Macaca fascicularis: one gene and its partners. The protein of the gene in region 6 interacts with the protein of the main gene of each other region in a pairwise test. Links are inferred from orthologs where the notes say so. Each region holds a gene or a part of one and is shown on either strand. Other genes may lie near its edges. The genes, in order: TRAF3IP3, CEP63, CCDC88A, MRC2, DIXDC1, NDEL1 and KALRN.

Region 1 (3,500 bases), on a different chromosome or scaffold from region 6:
CTGAGAAGAGGTGAGGAGTGCAGAAGTGCCTAGAGAGGGGAGAGAGGTAGTGAGCGAAAGGGTAGCTTAGAAGCTTTCCTTCCAGGGCTCCCCTGCTATGCTACCCTGAGCCATTTGATAAAAATGGAGGTAAAAGGAGGACTTGAGGCCAGTCTGATTCTTTCTTGTCCTAGTCTAGAGAAAGAAGAGAAGATCCTCTTCTATTCAGCATCCTTTGTCATATTTGCTCCTGCCTGCCTCCTGAAAGAGTTCACTGTTTGAGCATCAACCATGTGCTGGGCAGTAGGATAGGAATATAGAGTCAAACTCTTTGCAGACTAGATTTTGGCCCACACTCATTAACTCATCCCATTTGCTCCAGGGACAACTTAATGAAGACAAACTGAAGGGGAAACTGAGATCCTTAGAAAACCAGCTGTACACCTGTACCCAGGTAAGCATTCTGAAGGATATTTCCATCTCGGGAATCTAGAATTAAATGTGAAGAATGCTTGAACCTCAATCTTACTTTTGAGAAATGCCACCAGATAGAGAATAACACACCCATTCCTACTTACCCAGTTCTGGCTTGGCCATTTTCACTTTAGTCTCTAATTCACTAGATCACTGTCTCCATCCTTCTTCCTCTCCCTTTCTCCCAGTATCCTTCTCTTTGCACCCTGGAGGAATCCCAGCACTAACCACTTTGTCAGCTCCAGGGGAACCTTGAGAATACCTGAAACTGTAGGGAAAGGCCCTTGGTAAAGATTCACAACACCCAGACAGATCTTTACACATCCTAATCTTTGAACAGATGAGTTAGATGTTATAACGAAGTCTTAGAAAATGATTTTCATTCCATGGGCAACTTTTTTTGTTTTTTCTAGCAACCCCTAGAAGAATGTAAAAGCTCTTTTACTTGGCTCTTCTGTAACACCATTTTCCAGCATTAGTAATCTCCTGATTGGCCTAATCTTGGTTTACAAGAGATAGAAAGAAATCAGCTTTCACATTTGAGAAGTGATGGATACCTGACAGGTGGGAAGATGTCAAATAAGAGAATGGGGCGGAACAGGCAGACTTCTCCCATCTGGAGTTAGAGAGAGAAGACAGTTGGCCACATAGATGGCGTCTCACAGGGGAAGAGAGTTTATGGAGTCTATAAGTTTCTTGGTCCACAACTTTCATTTATTCAGTATGACTTGCTTTGACAGGACTAAATAATGCCAACCAAGTTCACAAGAGACCAATATATAATCCAGAATGCCAATCTATTCATTTTCAATAAGGAATAACACATAACCAGTGCCCAGCATGGATGGTCATTGGATGTCCAATAACTGGGACATCCCCTACATATGACCTCAACCAGGTTAATTCCTGAATCTAGTTTTTAATGAAAGTTCCAAAACTATAAGACCCACTCAAATTTAAATCCAAAATTTCAGACAATTCCAAAGCTAAATGGAAATGATTTCATATTGATCCCTAAATTTTTGTCATCTGGTCTACTGCTTACACAGTGGGTAATCCAGAATTGACAGTAAAATCTGCCTGCCTTCTCCGAAATCACAGGACACAAAGATGAAAGAAAGGGAGAAGGCAAGACCCCCAGTGAATTTGCAAAGCTGCACTTGTGTCTCCTTAATCCTGCAGCCAGGAGGAATTTTATAACGCGAATGTATTAATTTTAAACCATTAAGTTCATTAGGCATTGTAGAGAAGCTACAGTGATTTTTTTTTAAAGCAGCAGCAGTATGCTCCCTCCCTGAAGGAGTTTACAATCCAGTAGGAAAAACAGATGAGTCAACAGAGTAGAATAATAGAGGCATGCAGGGTACACTATGTGAACACTATGAACACTAAGAAAAGCTGCCTAATCTATAAGACATTGTGGGATGGGGGCAGTTGGTCAATTTATCAGAACTGATGATACTGGACTGAATCTTGAGTATGAGTAGAAGTTAACCAGTTCTAGGCAGAAGAAGCTATATGGGTAAAGGCAGAAGCCAAAAAAACAGAGTGCTAGGGGATCTGCAAACATCTCAGCTTAGGTGGAAGTAGCATGGGATGAAAGTCTAGGCATGTAAGTGGAGCCATGACAAGGAGTTTGGATGTGATTCTTAGGATGCTGAGAATCCATGGAGAATTTATGCAGGAAGTGGCAAGATCAGATTTGCATTTTAGAAAGAACCTTCTAAATGCGGGACTGAAAAGGGACTGAAGGGAGGCAAGATTTGAAGAAAGGGAAGCTGTTGCATTAATCCACATAACACTACTACTAGAGCCTGAACTAAGGAAGCAGCAGTAGGGATAGAGAGGAGACAGATATGAACTATGAAGGAAACTGTCAAGGTTCAATGACCAACTGATTACTGGAAGGAAATGAGAGAGAAAATGAAGATTGACTCCCTGGTTTAGGGTTTGGAAAAGACTAGATGGATGATGATTCTGGTCACTGAGATAGGAACCCCAAGAAAAAAGAACATGTTTAGAAACATGAGTCCTGTTTAGACATGTTGGATTTCAAGAGCTTGTGGAAGGCCTCAGATATAATGCCCAGCAAGCCTAGGGCACTGTTTATTATGCCCCCCCACTCATCTCTCATTGCCTGAGGGACTCTCCCTGCTAGCTCTACCCTAAAAGAAAAGGCTCACTAGATTACTGGTATCTCTGCCTGGGGGAAGAACCAACTTCTTTTCATTTCTGTATCCCAGTTCAGGATTTGGCACACAGAAGTTCAATGTGTATTTGTTGAATTGCATCAAATTTACAGAAATACTCCCCTTGGGGAATGAAAAAAGTACTACTGGAGATGGAAGACCAGAAAAACAGCTATGAGCAGAAGGCCAAGGAGTCACTGCAGAAAGTGCTGGAGGAGAAAATGAACGCAGAGCAGCAACTACAGAGCACACAGGTATGGGGATGCCACACAGACCTTGGGGTTGGGGACTCCAGGCAGCTTGGGGAACAAGGGAGCCAGCTGCACAGCTCCCTGGAACCTCTCCTCTCTGACCTCCCTCAGCGATCCCTGGCCCTGGCAGAGCAGAAGTGTGAAGAGTGGAGGAGCCAGTACGAGGCTCTGAAGGAGGACTGGAGGACCCTTGGGTCCCAGCACAGAGAGCTGGAGAGCCAACTCAACGTGCTTCAGTCCAAACTGCAGGTACCAGGCACTGGGGGTGGGGAGGGAAGACAGGGTATGGGGAGGAGGGGTGGTGATGAAGAAGCTGTTCTGGATTAGGGACTCCAAAGGCAGCTGACAGCATCTGGCTTTCAGTTCCTCAGTCACCACCTACTTTGTACCAAATTCACTGTTTTGGCTCTGAAATTTAATTTCGAGTTTAGCAAGGATGTCTGCACTGCTCATGCAAATGAACTAAGCGTTCATTGGAATGACACCATCACCATCCAAATGAAAAGAACTGGCTGGAATATATATCAGCCTACTAATGTCATATCCCAACCCACTCTCCAAACTCCATCCCAAAAAAGCATCCAGTTCAGAATTGCCCATTGTTGGC
Region 2 (3,500 bases), on a different chromosome or scaffold from region 6:
CGGCTCACTGCAACCTCTGCCTCCCGGTTCAAGCGATTCTTCCTCCCCAGCCTTCCAAGTAGCTGAGATTACAGGCGTGCGCCACCACGCCTGGCTAATTTTTGTATTTTTGTAGAGACAGGGTTTCACCATGTTGGCCAGGCTGGTCTTGAACTCCTGACCTCAGGTGATCTACCCGCCTCAGCGTCCCAAAGTGCTGAGATTACAGGTGTGAGCCACCACGCCCTGCCCTAAGTTCTTATTTCATTGAGAAGACAGCAGCAATTAAAGGAGAACTTCTTAATCTTTCTGTCATCAAAACTACCAGTCTTCCCACACCTGTGCCTTTCTGCACTTCTAAGACCAACTACTCCACTTGTGTCCTTTTTCTGTAGTTATATCCTTTCTTTTCTACATCATCAAGTTCTTTCTCTCCGCTGAATTATATCCACTGGTATAAAATATGCTATAACGTCACCCATCTGGGGGAAAAACCATCCCTTAATCCTATATCTCCGTCAAGTTACTTCCACATTTCTGTACTTCTCTTTAAGACCAAATTCTTCAAAAGAATTGTCTATACTGACTCTACTTCTTTACCTTTCACCTGTTTAGCAGCCCTTCACTTAGGTTGTCCTCCCTGCCACCTTGGAAGCAGGGTAGGAAGGGGTAACAGTTGACACACGGTGATCCTCCTTTTTGTTCTGCTGTGGTGGTGTTACTTCCTTGGGTGTTAATTGAATCCTGACTAATGCTATACCATACCTACCTAAACTCTTGTCATTGTCGTACTTATAATTTTTTTTTTGGTTTTTCATACCTCTCAACTTTTGGATTGGGAAGAGTGTGATATTTTGTTTTAAACACATGACTCATTATCATTTGTACACTGGCATTTTCTGTATGTAAAAGATAAAATTACTTTTAACATGAACTGTTAACCTTTAGGCAAACAACAAGAGAAATATCATTTTACACTTTTTAAGTTATCTTTAAGTAATACATTTTTTGTTTTTACATTTATTTCTGGTTTTGGAAACCAGTAAGTATTTTCTTTTATCTACATGTTAAATGCACAAACATACATACACACACATATTTTCTGCTTTATTCCTTTTGGAATACTTGGAGTACTTGAGATAATCTTTGTTATCATTGAAGTATATGTGTACTCTTCCATTTGACTAAAATTAAGTTTATTATTTTTGACATTGGGACAACAATTTACATTTTTATCACAGTTTTTTTATTGATTGGCTTTTTAGTAATATTTAAATGAGTGATGTGATGTTTAAGATATTGGCTGAATATTTTTTGGACATCAAGAATGTAAATTATATAGTCCAATTTATAGGTTTCGGGATTTTGGTTTTGTTTTAAATATGGGATCTTATTTTTGTCATACAGTTTGGAATCTGTGAGTGCAACATGTAAACAGCTGAGTCAAGAACTAATGGAAAAATACGAAGAATTAAAGAGGATGGAAGCACATAACAATGAATACAGAGCAGAGATTAAGAAGGTAAAAATATGCATACCTAGGATTGCAAAATTGTATGTGTTTATGGACTGAGCTGTGGGTTTGGAGATTATAGGGGTTATTTTTAATGAGAGAAAAATGTAGTTCAAGGGGCCACTTGATATTTAGGAGTGGAAGAGTACGTGGAATGTGCATAGGGAAAGTGCCTTCTTTCTCTGGCATCCCCCCGATGCCCAATAAATATTTTTAAGATAATTGAAGGCTGTTCCCTTTGAACTTAAAAACTTTATTTTAAACATGTTTTAATGAAAAGTTTTCTAAAAGACATACACTTAGTGTTTGCAAAAAAATATGAACTGTCATTTAATATTTTCTTATTGCCTAAACATAGTATTTATGGATTGTCTCCTGTGCTGTGATGTGGTTGGTATCCTTGTCAGCTATTGAGGTATGCAGAGCTGTTTGTGTCTATATGAGTGGGTCCTAACTGTCCTATTTGTTGTTTTGTATTTTTTGTTACTTCTTGAAGATTACTTCTCGCTTGTTTCTTCCTCTTGTTCTTTCTGTTTGTTATCCTGTGGACCAAGATACCATATGAGCAAAACTTTTAGATTCACAACTAAAAAAAAGAATGAAGGTCACAAGTACTGTCCTCTAAATAGTGTGCATGGACCTTGATTGTGGTCCTCAGCACTTGAATAACCCATCTCTCCCTGTTTTGAGGTATAATAAATGATTGTAGGTATAACCACCTGACCTTCAGTACAGATATGCAACTTGGTTAATTGCTAATTTTTCTGCAGATTTAATTCAGGAGAAATTTAATGTCTTGAGATAAGGTAAGCTTTTATTTTATTAGCTGGTAACATATTATTCTATCTAAATGCTTTCTCTTTTGGTGCTTTCTTTTCTGCTTTCTTTATAGTTGAAAGAACAGATTTTACAGGGTGAACAAAGTTACAGTTCTGCACTAGAAGGAATGAAGATGGAAATCTCCCATCTAACTCAGGAGTTACATCAGCGAGATATCTCTATTGCTTCCACCAAAGGTTCTTCCTCAGACATGGAAAAGCGACTCAAAGCAGAGATGCAAAAGGCAGAAGAAAAAGCAGTAGAGCATAAGGTGAAGCCTGAACAAAAACTTTTTTAAATTTGAAATTTGTTTTAAAGATGGAATTGATTAAAGACATAATTTTCATAATATTTAATTCAGTGAATTTTTATTAGATACCTGCTTTGAGCTGAGGGTATGCTGGTTAACAGAGAGTTTAGTGAGGGTGGTGCAGAGGTGAGAGTAGACACAGACAAGTAAAGTGACTATATCAGTGGTGTATGATGAGAGTCACTAGAGATCACAAGCAGCCTGAATCTAGACCACTCGCTGCAAAGGCCTTCCAGAAGGTGTGATAGCAAAGCTAAGTTAGGAGCGAGCTGGGTGAGGGGAAGGAAAAGTATTTCAGGCACAGGAAAATACAGAGGTCTCTAAGAGATAGTAGAACACGCTTGCTGTGGTTGAAACACGCTTGCTGTGGTTGAAACTAGAGTACACGTGGGATGAGTGGAAGGTATGAGACTGGAAAGCAGAGACTGGCTGCTGAAAGGCTCTGTTAGCCACATAAAGGAGTTATACTGTGACCTTGAGGTCAGTAGGCAGTGGCCACAAGCAGGAGTAAAATTCAGTGGTCTTTAAATGGAGAATAAGCAGGGAGACAGAGCACCCAGATGCTGTTACAGTGGTAAGATGGTGGCCTGAGCAGTGGGTAAGGGAGGGAGAGATAAATGGATGAATTCTGGAGATACTGGGCTGGTAAAAATGACTGGGCATTGTATTTGATTGGCAGGGAGGGTGAGGTAGGCAGAGTTAAGAAATGGTGTTCCACAGGATTTAAGCTTAGGCAACTGATGGAAAGTGATGCTCTTTAATTAAATAGAGAAAAGACAGGGATCTAGTTTGGCGAAGGATAATGAATTTGTGTGAAAAGTACACAGACTGGGGAAACTGGTGGAGAGGACTTTGGTTTAACACATTTGTTTGGAATAA
Region 3 (3,500 bases), on a different chromosome or scaffold from region 6:
GAAATAATACATAATAAAAAATATATATATACACACACACATATATATGTATATACTTTCTACATAAAATGTTTGTTATATATAATATGTATTTATTACCTATCATTTTCACCACAAAGTTTCTTGTATTCTGCAGCTACCGTTTCATGGTTTTTATTTTCAAGCAGCATTTTTTCCTGTTCTACTTTGAGCATTTTTTCCAAATCTTCCAATTGTCCTTTCTGTTTTAATAACTGATTGTAACTGGGGGAAAAAAGGCATTTGGTTTATAATATTAACAAAAAAGAAACTTTAGAAATGAAGGAAATGAGTAATTATCATTTAAAACACAGGTAAATGTATATACATTTCCTACGTAAACTAACATTAGATGTGTTTAACATATAAAATTTATTATACTACTTGAAGAAAATTCATTTTAAATTCACAGTACAACAAAATATAACAAATTACCGGTCTTCAAGGTCTCTATGTTCCACCTCAAGATTTTTGTGGGCAGACTTCAGAGTTCCATGTTTAGAGATAAGAGATTCATACTCTGAAGCCTGACGTTCATGAAGAAGTTCCAGCTTTTCATGATCTTTGATCAGAGAATCATAGAGAGATTTTAGGTCTTCTCGCTCTTTGATTACCGATTCATTTTCATTTTCTAAGGAAGACTGCTGGATTAGGAGTTGTGCATTCTGGTTCATAAGTGAGGTACTTTGGGAATTAAGGGTAGAATTTTCAACCTATGAGAATATGTGTTGTTATCAGACATAAGAAAAATAGTTCACGTTCTTTTTTCAAAATACAAGATTACAATGTTAAATAAAGCAAGCTCTAAATGAATCACAGCAGATATATTTACATTATACTGGGAAGATTTTGATTTTAGTTTCCCAAAGAATAACGCTACCATTTAATTTTGATTTTTGGAAGTATTATAATACACACATACATACATATATGTGTGTGTGTATATTAGACATATATATATTTTATGTTTTGGGTTGAATTTATTTTAAATGAAGGTGATTAGCAACCATTTTATTATATTACAAATGAAAATGTATAGAATTTGAAGTGCTAGTTTATCATTTCTAGAATTTGGTGATAGAAGTTGATAGAAGTGAAAAATTACTTGTGGAAATTTTTCAAGAGTCCAAATTAAGTAAATATTTTCTTTATCAAACAAAGTGTTGATGCTGATCAAAGAAAAGGGTTACAGAAAGAAGAATTCTTAGATTCAGAGAGGGAACTTGTTTCTGTTCTTTAAGAGGTTTCAGAGTTGAACTTTCCCCCACCTGATTGTTCTGTCTGGAAAGACACTGGCGGTGTTAAGTATGGATCCTTTGAACTTAGGACAGGTCTAAAGACAAAATTCTCATGTTGTCCTGTTTTCCAGTAACTAAACTGATAAAAAAAGCTATACAAATGAAATAAGGAATAGTATGCTGCAACCATACTCTCAAACAAGGATTTCTACCTAATTTATTACAATCAACTTAATGAAATGGTAGAAAGACCACAAATATAATTTATCTCTATTTAGATGTATTGACTGAATTTATTAATATTTAAAGCCTTTGACATTTAAAAAATTGATGTGTGAAAGTTTAGGCATGGCACTAAATAAAAACATTTTCATTTATCTTTAAGTTCATTCGCTAAGAAACAATGTTTCCATGTTTACCCTCCCTTATTTTAATAGCATAATTTAAGAGTTTGGTTGCATATTCCCAAAATATTATATTACAACCTGAAGCTTGGCATTCTGTGTTTGAAGAGTGGTATTCTGTTCCTGTAATGATACTGTCTGCCTCTGAAGTGCAAGAATCTGAGCCTGCAAATTATTGTTTTGTGTCTCAAGCTGCTTCAGTTGAGTTTTCAACGCTTGCTTCTCTGCTTGCAGTGTAGCATTCTTAAAAAACAAAAACCGAAACCAAACATATTAATAACAATAGCAATACTAAACATATTTCTATAATATACTGAATTTTATACTATGAGTATTTATTAGCAGTACAATCCATAAAACCCCAACAATCTTAAAAGAGAAAAAAAAAAAAACATTTTCCCCATCCCAAATTGTAAACAGACATTCATCAGAAAGAAGGCAATAATACTAAAACCTTAATATTGTGCCTGTGTCTTGTCTGCACTATAATATCCTAAAAATAAAATATCCTATTCTAAATATATTTATTAACACAAAAACTAGAAAGGAATTGTCAGTTGTATGGTTTTAATACTGCTTGAAGGTTCCCAGAATGACCAGAATAAATGGGGCTGTGTCCAACCATGGAGATCTATCTTTTCTAATTTACCCAAAGGCAAATATATACCTAAGTGAGTGGTGGTCCCAGAGATAGTGCAAAACTAAGTAATTTCCAAACACAAATATTTCAAAGGGAAGCAGGTTTACAGGAACAATCTTAACCATCTGTTTGAAATTTGCAGTCCACAACAGACCTAACGCAGATATTTTCTTATTTTTCTCACGATATAAAATGCTAATTAAAACTCTACTTCAACTATAAGACTCCTGGAGCATTTCCAAACAAAACATAACATTTTCCGTTTTTCCGTAAGGCCATATTTCAATGTTATAACAAATGAACTACTATGCGAATCAATGATTATTATATTTTAAAATACTTGTCATTAATCTTTTCAGGATTATTTCTAAATTAAATTTCATAAAAAATCAGCAACAGCAAAGTACAAAGAACCCTCCAGAAAACAGAAATAAAACTTTAATATACTAAAGGTCATAACTGGTCTACCCTGCAGTATGCATAAAAAGTTAACAACTGAATCACAACAGATCACTCTTAACATATCTATATGTAAATATAACATTCACTTTATTGGCTTTATGTTATATACACTGCATGTCACTGTGTAAAAGGCAGGTCAGGATTTGACCCACATATTATACTATAAAATTGAAGCTGAGGAAACAAAATGCTTTAAGATGCGTTATGATTTTGTATTTCTCTTTTGTTCATTTGTTCAAATAAAAAGGATGAAAAAATGTATACTAGAAAAAATAAAATGGAATACTGACAGTACTGACGTATTTATATACCATCTCAGCACAAAGAGGTGAACCATTTTTCACATATATATGTGAAATACTATTGTAGTTTAGCACTTTAGAAACTAAATTGTACAAGCTCTACCGATTATTCCAGGTGTCTCTAGGAATAAAAAAAATTCCTATAGTCTATAATGAAGAGAAGAGATAGCTGAGAGGGTATCTTAGAGCAGGAAAAAATTTACAATGGAAAAGAAAGAAGTTAGCAAATATAATACTGGCAAACACAAAAATTACCAGCCTATTATATGGCTGACCGTCTTTATAACCCCATTATCTAAAATATGAAACGAAGTAATTTTTTTCCAATGGAAATTTATAAAGGAAGTCTACAAGAAAAAAAAAAGATTCACCTTACAGAACTTCATATGCCAGCTCAATTTTCTAAAATGTAATTATGAATCCAAGCAATATAGGT
Region 4 (3,500 bases), about 61 Mb from region 6:
AGAAGAATGACTCTCACTTGTTAAGTGACCCCAGTGTAGGGCGGGGCCTGAGCAGGGCCCGGGCAGGCACAGGTGTGGGCTGGATACCTGAGAAAGATAGGCCTTGGCTGTGTCTGATTTTCTCGACTTTCTTTTCAGCAAGGCACGGGGTGCAGAGAGTAGAAGGGGCAGCTGGGGGGGTTCCATCAGTCAGCTGCAGGGCTCCCAAGGGTCCCTGCTTTCTTGAGCAAGTTACTGGTCAGGTGCAGCACCAGAGCTTCCGGGGCAGGGTGTCTGGCCTGTGGGTGGGGGATTGGGATAGGGGGAGATCCCTGCCCTGACCAGCCCGTTTCCCGAAGGTTCGAGCAGGCCTTCGTCAGCAGCCTCATCTACAACTGGGAGGGCGAGTACTTCTGGACGGCCTTGCAGGACCTCAACAGCACCGGCTCCTTCCGCTGGCTCAGCGGGGATGAAGTCATGTACACCCACTGGAACCGGGACCAGCCCGGTGAGCCCCTTCTTTAATGTGCCTTGGTGAAGTGAGGAGGGAGGTGGGGGTGGACTGGTCCTGCCGAGCCCCAGGGCAGCCCCATAAATGGATCATTGGTGCAGTGTGGTGTAGTGGCTATGAGCACGAGCTCTGAAACCAAACTGCCTGGCTCCGATCCTGACTCTGCCGTCTATTAGCTGTGCATCCTCTGAGCCTCAGTTTTCTCAATCTGTCCAATGGGGATAATGATCCTTTTCTCATAGGGATGATATCAGTCTTAAATATATGTAAAGTGCTAATAGGTGTAAAGAGATAATGTGTGTAAAGTGTCTAGATTACTTCTCTATCTGGGCTCACAAAAAAGAAAAAGAAAAAAATTCTCTATCTGGGCTCATTAAAAAAAGTGTTTAGAATACTGAGCGCAATACAAGTGCTTGTTATTACTATTATTACCATTTCACATTCATTATCTTTCTAACACGTTCAATAACCTGATGAGGTAGATGATGAAGCAGGCTCGGCGAGGTTAAGCAGCTTGCCTGAGCCCTCACAGTGAGTGAACCCAGAGCCAGGGCTCTGCCTCCATTCCCTTCCTCCCTCCCGGCCCCAACCCCAGAGAGCATGTCTCTGAAGAGGTGGCCAAACTGGTTCCCAGTGTGAGGGCTGTGCTGGTGCCCTGCTGGGATGTGAGGGAGGACCGGACTATGAATCCTTCTCAGAGCCTGGGTCTCCCTTCCCTCTCCTTCAGGGTACAGCCGTGGGGGCTGCGTGGCCCTGGCCACTGGCAGCGCCATGGGGCTGTGGGAGGTGAAGAACTGTACCTCGTTCCGGGCCCGCTACATCTGCCGGCAGAGCCTGGGCACTCCAGTGACGCCGGAGCTGCCTGGGCCAGATCCCACACCCAGCCTCACTGGCTCCTGTCCCCAGGGCTGGGCCTCGGACCCCAAACTCCGGTATTGCTATAAGGTAGGGCAGCCTGTTGGCAGGGTGGGGGGCAGGGGGAGGACAGGAGCAAAGAGACCGTTTGGGTGGAGGTCCCAGTGGGTCCAGCCACAATCCAGAGACACACCAGCCTGCGGACAGGTGATTTCTGGTGAGGACTTGTCCATGGAATCTGGAGGCCTGGTGCTCAATAACCATTTGAGGAATTGAGGGAACCACAGATCATTGATTTCAGAGGTTCCCAAATGTTGGGGCCAGTCTAGCTGCTCTTAAGAATTGCTTGGGGAACCTGATAAAAATAAAATCTAGGTGTCACGATGGAGATTTAGATTCATTAGGTCTGGATTGGGCCTGGTAGTCTGTATTTCTAATCCTGCTAGGTTTGGGAGCCACTGGCAGAGTCCAAGGTCTTTTATTATGCACAGAAACTGAAGTCTAGGGAGAAGAAGGGACTTACCCACATTAAGCTGTGGCTCTACTGGGATTAGAGCCTGGATCTCCCTGCTGGTCAGGGGATGGGGCTCAGGGGCACTCACGAGGAGGTGACTGTGCCAGCTCCCCTCCCCGGACCTCATCTGCAGGATTGTCCTTAGCTAGCCTGAGCCCCGTCCAGTGAGGCTCCAGCCCCTTCCTCTGCCATGGTGGGAAAGGTAGTAGGTGCCCCCTGAAGGGTGGGCCGGTGGGGACAGCGTAGACAGCTGGACTCTGCCCCTGCAGGTGTTCAGCTCTGAGCGGCTGCAGGACAAGAAGAGCTGGGTCCAGGCCCAGGGGGCCTGCCAGGAGCTGGGGGCCCAGCTGCTGAGCCTGGCCAGCTATGAGGAGGAGCACTTTGTGGCCAACATGCTCAACAAGATCTTCGGGTACTGAGCTGGGCTGAGGCGTGGTAGGAGGGCACCTGCTCACATGTAGGAGCAGGCGTGGCCGACAGACCCGTGGTTTCATTGGGCGAGGGGTGGGAATGGCAGAGTGTGGGTGACCCCAGGGAGGCCTATATCTGCTGCTGGTGCCAGGACCATCTTGTCCCCACTCAAGTAGCCATGGTGCCCTGGCGTCTTGGGAGAACATGCTTGTGTGAGCCACACACTCATAGGAGACTGTGTATTGCTCATCATCACCCCCCCAGCAACGTCCCAACAGACTCACAACCTTACATATGTACCTCCCACCCCATTGCAAAATCTCCTACCAGCTGGTCCTGGCAACTGTTTCCCCTCACCTTACACCATCCCACAATGACCCACACTCCTCAATCAACAGTTTTTCCTGAGAGATGGGAGGAGAAAGGCCGCAGCTGTGAGGATGTGCCCATGGGCATCCCTCTGAGACACCGTCTGTGTCCTGGGCTCTGAGCATCAGCACCTGGAATCCCCTAGCACTGGGAAAATCCAGACAGATCCAGGCTTCCTGATAGCTTAGTTGAAGGGATCTCTCCTCTCAGCAAACATCAAGATTACATTATTTGACTCATAATTACAATAGCTCATGGTCATCACTTCTCACCACGTACCAGGCACTGTGCTAAACATAATCCTCACTCAGGCCTCCCGACAACCCATAGATGTCAATCCCTGACCCTTGTGAGTTGATAAGTTATTTGCCCAAGTTCATGGGTGAACCGATACTTGAATCCAGGTTTATTTAACTCCAGAGCGGTAGATCCCTGCTGCCTCCTCATCTGAACTTCCTAAACTCTGTAAAGTAAAAGCCTGCAGAATCTTGCTGGGCAGGGCACCCTCGCCCAAAAGAAACCCAAACGAAGGGGAGGGGCCACTGCCTTCTGAGTGGACAGCTTAGTCCAACTCTCTCCAGCTCTGTCTGTGGGGAGAACTTTATCAAAGTGGCCTCAACGGTGTATCGATGGGGGTCAATGTGAAGCCCAGATGGAGAGGCCCCAGGCCCTGGGGGCTGCCCCGGTCACAGCTGCAAGGGACAGGAGGCACATTCGAGTCCCTGCCCCTCTCACTTCCCATCTCTTCCGTCCCCACTCCTGGGTTGTGCTGAAGTGAATCAGAACCCGAGATCCACGAGCAGCACTGGTTCTGGATCGGCCTGAACCGTCGGGATCCCAGAGGGGGTCAGAGTTGGCGCT
Region 5 (3,968 bases), on a different chromosome or scaffold from region 6:
AAGAGGTTGTTAGGTTGAATAAGAGCCAATACTGACTTTTCTTGCTAAGGTACTAATCAGGGTTTGAGGAGGAATCGGGGCCTCCCAGAAAATCATGAGTGTAGACTCCTAGATCCTTGAGCTGCCTGTCACTGATTGGCTGCGTCCTTGGACAAGGCCCTGACCTTCTCTGAGCCCTAATGCTCTGTAAACCCTTCCTCTCCATCTGGGATCACGAGGTGGAATGTAAAATGAATGTTTTTTCAGCTTCGAGTTTTCCTATAGAAACAAGAGTTTGCACTGAGTTGCAAATGACTAGTATTCCTAAAAATAAATAATCAAGGCTATGACTCGAATAGCTAGAAACAGCCTAGAATAGCTTTCTGTTTCACTTGAGGAAGCTTTTTACCTAACTCTTTCAAATGCACCAGGACATTTTTGCTGTCTTTATTTTAATTAAAACCCATTTATTTTAAAACACATTAAAATATGGGTTGTATATTTTAGCAGTTATTTTATAAAGAATGAAATAGGAAAATTTTGGAAAGCCTTGGTCATCCTTGATGTTTCTTTTGTGATCCTGTGTGATGTTTAGCACTGTTCTATTGAATGTGTTCTGATACCATCAATAACTAAAGTTCTTTCTATCCTCTTTTCCCCCTTTCTTCCTCTGCTCCTTCTTCTCTTTCTTATTTCTTTCCCTTCTGCTTCCTCTTCTTTAACTTGACCTCACTGTCCAGGGCCCATGTGGAAAAAGGTTGCTGTTTTCGGTTAGTCTGGGGGAAAATCCTATGATTCACTCCCTTTCCCACCCACCTTCTGGTGGGCCGTTTGTGGCCTTAAGTTAGCAGTGTGTGTGTGTGTGTTGCGCACCCTCCCCGCGGGCACACCCGCCTGCAAGCCTGGGGTGTGTGTGTGTACGCGCGCGCGCAAGCGACTGCAAGCGCGGCTGCAAGCGCTGGCATACACCAGTCGGGCCGCCTGTTTGTCAACGTGTGTGTGTGTGTGTGTGTGTGTATGCACGCAGCGCGCACATAGAGCAGAACGTTTGCCTAAAATCCGTGTGTGTGTGTGTGTGTGTGTGTGTGTGTGTGTGTGTAGCGCACGCACACACGCCCGTGCTGCGGCCCGGGGGGGTGTGTGTGCGCGTGCGTGCGGGCGTGCAGCGCGCGCCCCCGCCAGCCCGCCTGCCCGTGCGGCTTTCCCGCAGGAGAGCGGGACTTGGGGCAGCCCGGCAGCGCCGCTTCACCCAGTGCGCGCCCAGCTGTTTCCATAGGAACCGCGACCGCGCCGGGCCCCTCCAGCGGAGGCCCCCGTGCGAGCATGCCCAGTGCAAGCCGCTAGTTTGGCTCCAGTCTAGGTTTCCAGTAAGTGGCATGCGGGACTCCGGAGGGATCCCAATGAGCTGAGCCGAGAGCCTTTGTGTGCAGAGGGAGGAGGAGGAGGCTGCGGCGGCCGCCGGGCTGGAGACCCCGCCCGGGGAGCCCCCAGCAAGAACAATGCTAGCTTGCCTGACCCGAGGGAACTTACTGGACGTCCTGCAGGAGGGCTTCAATGAGGTAACTGTCCTGCTCCTCCCACTCCTCAGCTCCCCTCCCCCAGCGTCTCCCGCCCAGTCTCCGGAAGGGGTCCTCTTCCTCCCCCATCCTCTGGGGACCCCAGAGCAAATCGCCCGCAGAACCCCAAGGGGCTAAGGTGGTACTTGCAGGGCAGATGGGTGAACCAGGAGAAATCAGAAGGGCTGCCTGCCCACAGCTAAGTTGGGCCATGACCTTCCCTGATAGCTTGCTTACCTGAGCCCAAGAGGACAGGACCACAAATTCAGAAATCACCTTCTTCCAGAAGAGGGGGTCTCCATCCTCCCTAGAGTTTCTCTCCCCAAGGAAATCCTCAGGGAATCCCTGGATATTTGGCAAAAGTGCTCATCTATATCAGGAGCTAACCAGCGGAGCCAAGGGAGGGTGGAGTGGTACTGCATTTGTAGAAAGTTTGAGAGGGCAGGGGACTGTAGATGGTCCATGTGAAGTGCCCTCTTCATGTCTGAATCTCTTTCTGAGTCCGGGGCAGTAGATTTCTCTGCAATCAAGGACGTGGTTGTCAGAGAGGAGCTACTGAGCGAGAGGGGACCTGGGTCCTGGGCCCAATCCCAGGGAGCCAGCGTGTGCACCCGTCCATGTGAGAGCAGAGGAACTGGGGCCTCAGTCTGACAGGCAAGATGGGCTAGGGCCGACAAGGGGTCATTTCCTCTCCACTTGTTTCTCTTACAATTCTATTTATTGCATTTGCTTTTCTTGTGACCCAGGAAATTCTGGTTTGGGATGCTTCCCCCTCAAGATTGTCTTCCATATGTCTTCCACTGCAGCTAAGCCCTACTCCTGCGGGTTGTCTCAGCGCAGCATCCAGGGAAACCTACGCTGTTAGTTGTGCCTTTCTTCATTTCTCTCTCCCTCCTTTTCCTTCCATCTCTTTCTTCTCTCTGTGACTCTCTAAAATTTAAGATTTTAAAAATCAGTTTTTACTCAACATATGAATACATTGTCCTCTTAAATATGAACATCATAGGCAACACTGAAGTGTCTTTGGTTCCCCCCACCCATTCCAGCCTTTTCCACACAAATAACCATTCTCATGAATTCGTGTATAAGATTTTATTTCTGCGGCTGCACTACAGCCTCCTTCCTTAATTCCTGTTTCTAATTAAGAAGCTCTGCAGCCTGACCTGCCACAGAACACTCCCCCGTTCTGGTCCCCATCCCCTAGCCTTGTTCCTAACACAGAGGAAAACTGCAGAAATGCTGTTCCAACCTAACCGAGTTGGAATTTTCCTTTGGCCAAGGGGTATCACAACCTTCACTGAGGGGCGGAGCTTGCATCCTGTCTGCACTGTAGGGCACCTCATCTTTGCATCATTCCTGTCTGAACACATGTAAGGGGATTGTTAACAAAGAGCTGTAGTCTAAGAGTTGAAACACAGAAGAGCCAGGAAGCCTACCTCTGAGTGATTCCCATATTCTGGTTCCTCTTTTCTCACTCTCTGCCTTTGGGCTGCCCCTGGTCTTTAGCTGCGTAAGTCTGACTCATTCACCAATTGTGGCAGAAGCTCTTTTAGTTGTCTTATACCTCCTGCTCCAACTTAAAACAACAACAACAACAAAAAAACTCAGCTCTTGATGGTCCCACTGTCTATTTAGGAGCAGGAAACCAGCACAGAGCTGGTCCTAATCTTTGTTTTCTGCTCATTTTCACTTCGAAACCTTTCGACTAAAGAGCCACGTAAACTAAGAGGCTTGGCCGTCTGTTTCATGCTTTGGTGCTTCCATAAATATCCGCTGACCTCCAATTCTTGAAAAACATAAGGGCCTAAAGGAAAAGGGGAATGGGAGAATCATGTTTTTGTGGTGGTAATGGAATCTTCATAAAAAGCACAGATGCATAACTTTTTAATTAATTGGTCCCTAGAATAATGCAGTAGTGCCTCTTTTCCTTCTCTGATATTTGATTTTTCTACCCATCCTGTAAACTTCCCTCCACCCCCTCCACAAGCTAATGTACATCTGTTCCTCTCTGTTAGATTTGAACTCTGATAGCCAATGAGTACTTTTGGTTTCTCTGAAAAATTGACATCATCTAAATAACAATAACAGTAATATGTTAAATTTGAATGGTTTCTTACAGTTTAAATGATTCTTTCACATTCTATATTAAATAATTCATTTTACGTACAATATTACATTTAGTGCTACTGAATAATAGTGTAATTGGTTATTTTAGTATCCATGGGGCCCTATTTGACCTATTCCAGCCTCTAAGGTTGCTTAATAGATCCAGTAATATTCAATTTATTTTTTTAGAGTCCTTGAGATAAGGATGTAAACAGGGATTTTAAAGCTCGTGTCAGAATACGCTTTAATTCTTCTGAGAATTCCTACTGAGGCTACGAATACCACACATGTATCCAGTCACCTCCTGGGAACGATCCAAGTATATCT
Region 6 (3,983 bases):
ACAGTGCTAGGATTACAGGCATGAGCCACTGCGCCCAGCAAAAACATCAATTTCTTAAAAATATCTTAAACATGGCCTGGCCTGGTGCCGTGGCTCACACTCATAATCCTGGCACTTTGGGGGGCTAAGGTGAGTGGCTCGCTTGAGCTCAGGAGTTCGAGACTAGCCTGGGCACCATGGTGAAACTCCATCTCTACTAAAATACAAAAATTAACCAGGTGTGGTGGAGTGGGTCTGTAATCCCAGATACTCAGGAGGCTGAGACACGAGAATTTTGTTTGAACCTGGGAGGAAGAGGTTGCAGAGATTGCGCCACTGTAGTCCAGCCTGGGAAAAAATACAAAACAAAACACAACCCTTAAACATAAGCAGTCATATCTTTAACAGCCTCAAATATAAGTATCTGTACCTTAAAAATATAATTAGGGGCTGGGCGTGGTGGCTTACGCCTGTAATCCCAGCACCCTGGGAGGCCGAGGCGGGCGGATCACGAGGTCAGGAAATCGAGACCATCCTGGCCAACATGGTGAAACCCCGTCTTTACTAAAATACAAAAAATTAGCCGGGCATGGTGGTGGCACGCGCCTGTAGTCCCAGCTACTCGAGAGGCTGAGGTAGGAGAATCTCTTGAACTCGAGAGGCAGAGGTTGCAGTGAGCTGAGATTGAGCCATTGCATTCCAGCCTGCTGACAGAGCGAGAGTCCGTCTCAAAAAAAAAAAAAAAAAAAAAAAAGTATGTATGTAATATAATGAAACTTGAAATCTCAATTCCTGAAATGGTACAAACTTTAATAAATTAATATAAACTTCTAAGTATAAAAAGTTCACTTGTGTACCATCTGAAGTGTCACACATGTACACTCTGGCACGAGTGGGTGAGGGCTGGCGCTCTGGCACGAGTGGCTGGCACCCACGCAGGGGACAGAAACTTGGGGTCCCAGAGCTAGAAATAGGCGACTCTAGGACTTTCTGTGGCTGAGCCCAAGGCCCGGGTGAGATGCTTGACCCGAGAGTCCTTTGGATGGGACACCACTGAAGTGGATCAAATAAAACAATCCAGAGAAAAGTAGCTGGGACTCTTTCAACAGGATGAAACTAGCAAGGAAGGATAGTGACCCGAGGGTGTGGGCCAGGGAGGAAGCGGAGACAGCAGGGCGGGACGTCGGGTGAGCAGGAAGGGGCTGAGTCATGGCCCAAGCTTGTGCCAGCCCGGGCAGCACGGGGCTGCGCTCTTGGCATCTAGCGCATGGATTCCCTCTCGCTGTCGTCAAGTGACCCACTCCCGGGGCAGAGACGCTTCAGGACAGGCAGGGGAGGGAAGTCACCAAGACAGCGGGGAGATTTGTTCTCAGGGACACGGTAGGTGGAAGGGAAACCTCTCTCGACTCCCGGGGTGGTGGCAGCATTTGGAGAAAGAGTGCTTGATGTGAGCTGGCCGCCTTGGAGGATTTTCTGAGTTGGCAGTCTTCATCCCAGGGCTTTAATCCTTCCTGACAGCTGAGAGGCCTCAATTCTTGAGACAGGTAAGGCTAGGGTCAGGGACAGAGTTCAGAGTAAGAACAATTTTATTTTCGGATGATAAAAATAGCACTACTGTTGAAAAAAAATGTGGAAAATGTTAACACACACATAAACACACGCACGCACACACACAAAATACAAGCTGTACACCACTTCTACAGAAAACTACCATTAGTATTTTGGTGTTTATTCCAGCGTGTGTGTGTATATATATAATATGGCCATATAATATATAATTATGTTAAAATGTATAGTTGTACTTACACATATTATATATAATTATTTTTAAGATAAATGGGGTCACATTGTATGAATGCTTTTTGGACCTTTTTTTTTTCAATTGTTATCTTTTAATCCCAATAAACATTCTTTTAGATCCTCTTTTTTAATAGATATAGTAATTTGCTTAACTAATCTCATGTTGATTCATATTTAGGTTGTTTCCGATTTTTCCCTATTATAAAAATTGTTGGCGGGGTGCGGTGGCTCTCGCCTGTAATCTCAGCACTTTGGGAGGCCAAGGCCGGGCGGATCCCCTGAGGTCAGGAGTTTGAAACCAGCCTTGACCATCATGGTGAAACCCTGTCTCTACTAAAAATACAAAAATTATCTGGGCGTCGTGGCATCCACCTGTAATCCCAGCTACTAGGGAGGCTGAGGCAGGAGAATCGCTTGAACCCGGGAGGTGGGGGTTGCAGTGCGCTGAGACGGCGCCATTGCACTCCAGCCTGGGCAACAAGAGTGAAACTCCATCTCAAAAAAAAAAAAAAAGTCTGCAATAAGTGTTTTTACTAAATATATTGGTGGTATTTCCTTAAAATAAATTACTAGCAATAGAATCGACAGCTCAAAGGATAATATTGTTTTAAAGCCTTGTGATAAATATTGTAAATTTGCCTTTTAGAAGGTTGTGCCAATTTGGACTCCCTTCAGCGATATTTGAAATTGTCTTTTGTTGTCACCCCCACCCACTTTGCCTGGATATTATTATAACATTATCTTTACCAAAAGAAAAAAATCTGAAAGTCATCCACCTCTCTGTCATCAGGGTCAGTATCCTAGCTTAAGGCATTACCATCAGCTTGTTTGGAATTCTGCAATAGCCCGTTCACTTCCTTTTCTGCTTCAACTCTCTTCCCTCATGGTCTTCTCCAGAATGGTCAGAGTTCTTTTTTTTTTTTTTTTTTTGAGATAGAGTTTCGCTCTTCTTGCCCAGGCTGGAGTGCAATGGCGCAATCTCAGCTAACCGCAACCTCTGCCTCCTGGGTTCAAGCGATTCTGTAGCTGGTATTACAAGCATGCGCCACCACGCCTGGCTAGTTTCATATTTTTAGTAGAGACAGGGTTTCTCCATGTTGGTCAAGCTGGTCTTGAACTCCTGACCTCAGCCCGCCTCAGGCTCCCAAACTGCTGGGATTACAGGCGGGAGCCACTGCACCCGGCTAGAGTTCTCATTTTAAAAAATATGCATCCATTGCTTTTTGATTTGGTTGTGACAGACTGGCTTGGATCAGATTAGGATTCTTTTAGAGGACGATGTAAAAATTAGATCTCTCTCTCTTACACACACACACACGCACACACACCACATACACACACGGCTGTTTTAAGGCATCAGAAAGCACTCAACATGTGTGGAATTAAATAACCAGAATCCTGGAGAGAAGGGAACCACTTTGAGGTCAGGGGATATTCTTCACTGCTTTTGACTCTCAAGAAATTTGCCAGTTTGCTTGGGAGACATTGAGGCTGGGCAGAAAAGGGTAACCTAAAGCTTGGGCAGTATCACAGGGCTCAAAAATTAGAATCCAAGGCAAACAGAATGTAAGGAACTAAGATCCTGGGGAAAAGGGCATGAGAGAGGCGAGCCCCAATTTCCATGTAGTTTCTTTTCTCAGAAAATTTGCCAAATCATATTCTCTGCACGTGTTGTTGTGAGGGTGAGGGGCAGAAGCAAATCAGAAAGCTATTCTTAAGCTGAGCCTCGCTTTTGGGCTTTTCAGGGTTGTGAGAATTTAAAAATTGGAGTTCAGGGTCTGATAAGAAGAATCTGGTAAATGCCCTAGGGTTTCAGAGAGAGTCCTACAAGACCATGACCGAGGAATCAGGGCAATCCAGAAATAGACCAGCCCACACAAAGCCTGTAACATCTCAATTCCTGATTGGATTAAATGATTTGACCCTACTCTAATGGGCTGGCCGGGGGGTGAAGAAATTTACATATTTTCTGGAGAACATCATTCAGAGCCTCTACAATTTTTGTTTTAACTCCAACCTGTAAGTGAGAATGCGAGTTTTCATTCTACCCAGCATCCAATATTTAACAAAAATTAGCAGATATACCAGGAGACAAGACCAAATAAACAAAAAGCAAGAAAAAACTGATTATAGAACCAGATCTAAAGGAGAACAAGGTATTAGTATTATTGTATTTGAACTCTAATACACTGAAGAAAGTAGAT
Region 7 (4,071 bases), on a different chromosome or scaffold from region 6:
GCAGACTTTATTAAGTACTCAGGTCTTAAAGACCTTCTGTTTGGTGGGCTCTGCAGTCACTAGAACCACAAACACACTACTGGATAATTATTGTTTAATTATTACTTAAAAACTGATGGGCACAATACAATCACCACATTAATTACCCCATACAGCATCTGTTTTCTTTTTTGCAGTCATCCCCACTCCTCCCCAGCCCCTCTCCCCACTTTAATTGAAATTCAGCTTGCTGTAACACCTCCTTTCTCCTGGCCAACTGGATCTCTCCATTCACATGAGGGAGAAGAACAAAACCGAGAAGGCCCCAGGGATTAGAGAGTTTTGACAGCTGTCCAAGAGGAGCACGGAGATAGGGCCAAGTACGGAGGCAGGACAGAGACAAACGAGGGACAAGAGAGTGACGGAGGGAGGGAGAGATAGGCAGGGAAACATCACAGGAGCATTAAACTGGACAAAGAGTCACAGAGACAGGCGGAGATGTTTAAAGGGGCGCTGAAAAGGGGAAAAGGACGAGAAAAGACAAAAAGGAGAGAAATTGTGGCGAGCTGGTGAGGAAAATGTGAGAGGCTCAGGAGGGCAGGGAGACAGAAGAGAGTTCGTCAGGAAGGAGGGGAAGAAAGGCCGGCCTCTAGGGACAGGTCAGTCCAGCTTGGGGACCGATCTGAAGATCCGGAGAAGGCGGGCGGGCAGCCTGGTGTTCCCCTCACACACCTGGGAGTGGAGTGGGCGGAGGAGGTGGCCGCTGGGCCGGGTGGAGCACTGGCGTCGGGAGCGGAGAAGCAGAGCGCGCAGCGCCCGGGCCGCAGAGCCCCTGGACTAGGCTGGCTTGCGCCCTGCAGCCCCGGGCTCGCCCGGCGGCCCCGCCCCCTCCTCGGCCCGGGCTTTTCCTGCCGAGCTCAGGAAGCCGGCCTAGCACAGCCTCGAACAATAGCTCGGGACTCAGGCTTCGCTCCCTGGGAGGCCGGCGCAGGGAAGCTGGGACAGGGGGCGTCGGCGCCGCCGGGGGCCCGCAGCGAGCCCTCGGCCCGGGCTGGAGCTTCAGTTCAGCTCGGCGCTCCAGGGGTCATTGTTGGCGGCGACTGAGGGAGCGGGAGCCGGGGGAGGAGCTGGGGAGGCGGCGGCTGCGGCGGGAGCCAGAGGGGGAGCCAGAGAGCGAGCGAGCGAAGGAGGGAGGTAGCGAGTGAGCGAGTGAGCGAGGGAGGGAGGAGGTAGAGAGACAGGGAGGGTGGGAGGGAGGAGGAAAAATAAAGAGGAGAGAGCGGAGCAGGGCTGAACAATAGAGACAGGCAGACAGGCGAGCAGGAGAGCCAGCTGCCGCTGCTGGGGGACAGCGGGCACCCAGGCAGCCCGCGCCCCGGCCTCGGTTCCCGGCCCTAGCCAGACAGCAGGCGGCCAGCGCCCTGGGGAAGGGGTACCATGGGGGAGCTGGCGGCAGGCACCCCTAGCCCGCCGCGCGCCTCCGCTTGAGGGAGGCTCGGCGTTCTCTGCCCCTGCCCCACCGCCCAGCGCCCGCCCTCGAAGCCCCCCTGGCCGCCAGCTCTGCGGCCGCGGCCGCTGCGCCCCGCGCCCTCCGCCCATCGGGCGCCTAGCAGCCCTCGGCCCCAGGCTTCTCTGGCCCCCGGCTGCCCTCAGACGCCCTCCCACAGTCATGAACCCCCCTGAGGGAGCAGCGGAGGAAGGAGGAGCAGCCGACTCGGACGTGGACGCCTTTTTCCGGACAGGTAAGCTGGGCAGGGCGCGGGGGGCCGGGGCTGAAGGCTGCTGCCTCGGACGCGGCGTCTTGGACAAGTTTGGGGAAGGAGGGCTGTTGCTGCCGCGTGCGTGTTGGGGGCCAGTGCCCCCTCGGCGTCGGGGCGGGAGTTGCCGAGATTCTGGTTGTTATGGCAGTGCTGGCTGCGTTTGGGGAGGGCGTGGGGGCTGGGAACTCCGCGCCCCTCCGCCTTCATCCCAGTTGCGGGAGTCCGTGTTGGGGAGGCGGGAGGCGGTCCCCTCGGGCCGCCTTCTCCCGGAGCGCGGGGATGGGCGGTGTTGGCTCACTTTGCAGCGCGCCGCTCCGGCTACCGGCGTCCCGGCCCCTCCCTTGGCTCCCCCTCCCCCGTGCCTGTCAGCGGGGCTCCCGGCGGCAGCCCTGGGCCGGCACCCCTCCTCGCCGTCGGGGGCCCGGGGCCCTGATGTGCACAGAGGGGCGGCGGGGACCCGGAGCCGCGCCGGCTGCAGACTGACAGGAGCGGGGCGGACGACATGGGTCTCGCCTGGTGCGTGTGGGGAGCCGGCCCCTCTCACTTGAGAGGCAGACCCGGCTGGGAGGGCGGTGGGCGCCTCGGACCTCCCCCTTGTCCTCCTCTTCAGTTCTGGGAACGGAGGAGCTATTCATAAGAATTACTCATTCCTGGAAGTGTGAGTTAGCGTCCCTCTCATACACACCCACTAAGTCTCTGCTTGCTGTGAGGTGTAGAGCCCTGAGATGTCTTTCTAGATCTTTGCGCCCCTGCCACCGTCCATGTCCCGGGTCCATTGCTCCTCCTGCTCCCTGGCTACACAGTCCCTCCCGGGAACCGGCACTGACCATCCTCGTTTTCCACCACCTGTGACCCTGTTTCTCTGATGGCCAGGGATTCCCCATCTCCCTGTACCTGTGGCTTCCACTAGCTTCTGTGTGTAGCTCCCCATGTCCCCACATGTCTGAAACCATTTTGTCTGGAATCTTTGTCCCAAAGAGTCCAGTAAGTTACCGGGGTCCCATGCATCTGCTCTCCCTTTTGGAAAGTTGGATTAGAGGACATGAACTGGTGGGGGTCAGGGGTCAGGTTAGCTCTGGAGGGTCTCTGCACATCCATCTGTTTCCTAACCCTGTTACCTTGCCCTGGAGGTCATCTCTAGGGAAGGGGGTGGGGTGCTTTGTGGGGGAGACTTGTGGCTTTGGAAGTCAAGACTTGATTGGCTCATATGTTCATTCTCTAGTTGATGTGCAGAGGAAAAAGCTGGATGACAGGAGCTGCTGCCAGGGTCTGGGGAAATCAGAGGGAGCCCCTGTCATTCTATTCTGCTTCCTAGGTCTAAGCCTACCTTCCTTCTCTTCCTCCTTCCTTCCCTTCTTCCTCTTCCTGAGACATGGATTATATTTTCTCTCTCTTCTTTCTTCTCTCTCATACACAAACAGCCCAGCACCCAAAAGCATGAATTCTAAAGAGGTGGAATATAGGGACAAGGTTCTGGGGGCTAAGTGATATCCAGAAATACTCATTATGAGGACGAGGAAGGGAGATATGGGAACTCATAACTGGGGCTAGAAACAAATTGACCAGTCAATCAAAAACCCAGCTGATCCCTCTTGCCTCCCAACTGGGGCAAAAGTCTGCATTTTCTTAGCTCTAGGGGAAAAATCTTGAAGTGTGAGCCTTTCCACCTTCCCTTTCAGGACCCCACTTTTACCTTTTGGTGTCCACTCCTCTTTCCCCTTTGTATCATCCAAACACTAGGTCCTGTTCATTTTCTGTTCCAGGCACCTGTAGCAGAGCTCAGTTCCTGGAGGCTTATTTCTGACAATAAATTCACACAGTGTTAATGGTGTTAATGGCCAATAATAGTCCAATGTGTAACTTTTCCCAGGGCCTTTCAAAACACAACGTATGGCACACATTATCCAACCCTGGCTCAAATCACAAAATAAATAGCAGACTCGGGTCAGTCTCCTGTGGGACTCCTATGTTGGGGATATTCTCCCTCCTCCTTGGGCAGCCCAGTGGCTGAGCTAAGTCTGATGTGCACTTAGTATCAGAGAAAGGTTAAGTCCTTGGTGCATAAGGCTGGAAATGACTGATGACCTGTAACATGTTGCAAGAGGGGGTGGGTCAAGGACTACACCCACCATGTGTGGCCCTCTATGCTTGGCTCACTGACTCTCACCACACTTCTGGTCTCTAGCCTAGGCTCTTGCTGGGGATTCGTCTTTTTTTGTTGTTAATTTTTATTTTAGGTTCAGGGGTAGAAGTGCAGGTTATATAGGTAAACTATGTGTCACAGGGGTTTGGTATACAGATTATTTCATTACCTCAGTAATAAGCATAGTAC

Evidence for each region.
Region 1: the proteins of NDEL1 (region 6) and TRAF3IP3 interact in binary tests that used the Homo sapiens proteins (3 or more experiments, as listed by UniProt). The two-hybrid records come from large-scale screens. The link is inferred for Macaca fascicularis from reciprocal best matches to the Homo sapiens genes NDEL1 and TRAF3IP3.
Region 2: the proteins of NDEL1 (region 6) and CEP63 interact in a two-hybrid assay, tested with the Homo sapiens proteins (2 studies listed by BioGRID and IntAct). The link is inferred for Macaca fascicularis from reciprocal best matches to the Homo sapiens genes NDEL1 and CEP63.
Region 3: the proteins of NDEL1 (region 6) and CCDC88A interact in a two-hybrid assay, tested with the Homo sapiens proteins (2 studies listed by BioGRID and IntAct). The link is inferred for Macaca fascicularis from reciprocal best matches to the Homo sapiens genes NDEL1 and CCDC88A.
Region 4: the proteins of NDEL1 (region 6) and MRC2 interact in a two-hybrid assay, tested with the Homo sapiens proteins (2 studies listed by BioGRID and IntAct). The link is inferred for Macaca fascicularis from reciprocal best matches to the Homo sapiens genes NDEL1 and MRC2.
Region 5: the proteins of NDEL1 (region 6) and DIXDC1 interact in binary tests that used the Homo sapiens proteins (3 or more experiments, as listed by UniProt). The link is inferred for Macaca fascicularis from reciprocal best matches to the Homo sapiens genes NDEL1 and DIXDC1.
Region 7: the proteins of NDEL1 (region 6) and KALRN interact in a two-hybrid assay, tested with the Homo sapiens proteins (2 studies listed by BioGRID and IntAct). The link is inferred for Macaca fascicularis from reciprocal best matches to the Homo sapiens genes NDEL1 and KALRN.

What each region holds. Positions count from the first base shown.
Region 1 is NC_088375.1:67,597,420-67,600,919, forward strand, and holds part of TRAF3IP3 (TRAF3-interacting JNK-activating modulator), read left to right. Parts: intron 1-361; coding exon 362-433; intron 434-557; exon of another isoform or gene 558-721; intron 722-2,755; coding exon 2,756-2,896; intron 2,897-3,004; coding exon 3,005-3,142; intron 3,143-3,500. UniProt on the Homo sapiens protein: Adapter protein that plays essential roles in both innate and adaptive immunity. Plays a crucial role in the regulation of thymocyte development.
Region 2 is NC_088376.1:37,457,688-37,461,187, forward strand, and holds part of CEP63 (centrosomal protein of 63 kDa), read left to right. Parts: intron 1-1,386; coding exon 1,387-1,501; intron 1,502-2,384; coding exon 2,385-2,582; intron 2,583-3,500. UniProt on the Homo sapiens protein: Required for normal spindle assembly.
Region 3 is NC_088387.1:66,493,896-66,497,395, reverse strand, and holds part of CCDC88A (girdin), read right to left. Parts: intron 1,904-3,500; coding exon 1,742-1,903; intron 732-1,741; coding exon 454-731; intron 244-453; coding exon 100-243; intron 1-99. UniProt on the Homo sapiens protein: Bifunctional modulator of guanine nucleotide-binding proteins (G proteins). Acts as a non-receptor guanine nucleotide exchange factor which binds to and activates guanine nucleotide-binding protein G(i) alpha subunits.
Region 4 is NC_088390.1:69,154,562-69,158,061, forward strand, and holds part of MRC2 (C-type mannose receptor 2), read left to right. Parts: intron 1-338; coding exon 339-487; intron 488-1,217; coding exon 1,218-1,435; intron 1,436-2,128; coding exon 2,129-2,271; intron 2,272-3,414; coding exon 3,415-3,500. UniProt on the Homo sapiens protein: May play a role as endocytotic lectin receptor displaying calcium-dependent lectin activity. Internalizes glycosylated ligands from the extracellular space for release in an endosomal compartment via clathrin-mediated endocytosis.
Region 5 is NC_088388.1:110,863,675-110,867,642, forward strand, and holds the start of DIXDC1 (dixin), read left to right. Parts: upstream 1-1,168; 5' UTR 1,169-1,478; coding exon 1,479-1,538; intron 1,539-3,968. UniProt on the Homo sapiens protein: Positive effector of the Wnt signaling pathway; activates WNT3A signaling via DVL2. Regulates JNK activation by AXIN1 and DVL2.
Region 6 is NC_088390.1:8,477,260-8,481,242, forward strand, and holds the start of NDEL1 (nuclear distribution protein nudE-like 1), read left to right. Parts: upstream 1-1,183; 5' UTR 1,184-1,359; intron 1,360-3,983. UniProt on the Homo sapiens protein: Required for organization of the cellular microtubule array and microtubule anchoring at the centrosome. May regulate microtubule organization at least in part by targeting the microtubule severing protein KATNA1 to the centrosome.
Region 7 is NC_088376.1:159,202,860-159,206,930, reverse strand, and holds the start of KALRN (kalirin), read left to right. Parts: upstream 1-1,271; 5' UTR 1,272-1,648; coding exon 1,649-1,721; intron 1,722-4,071. UniProt on the Homo sapiens protein: Promotes the exchange of GDP by GTP. Activates specific Rho GTPase family members, thereby inducing various signaling mechanisms that regulate neuronal shape, growth, and plasticity, through their effects on the actin cytoskeleton.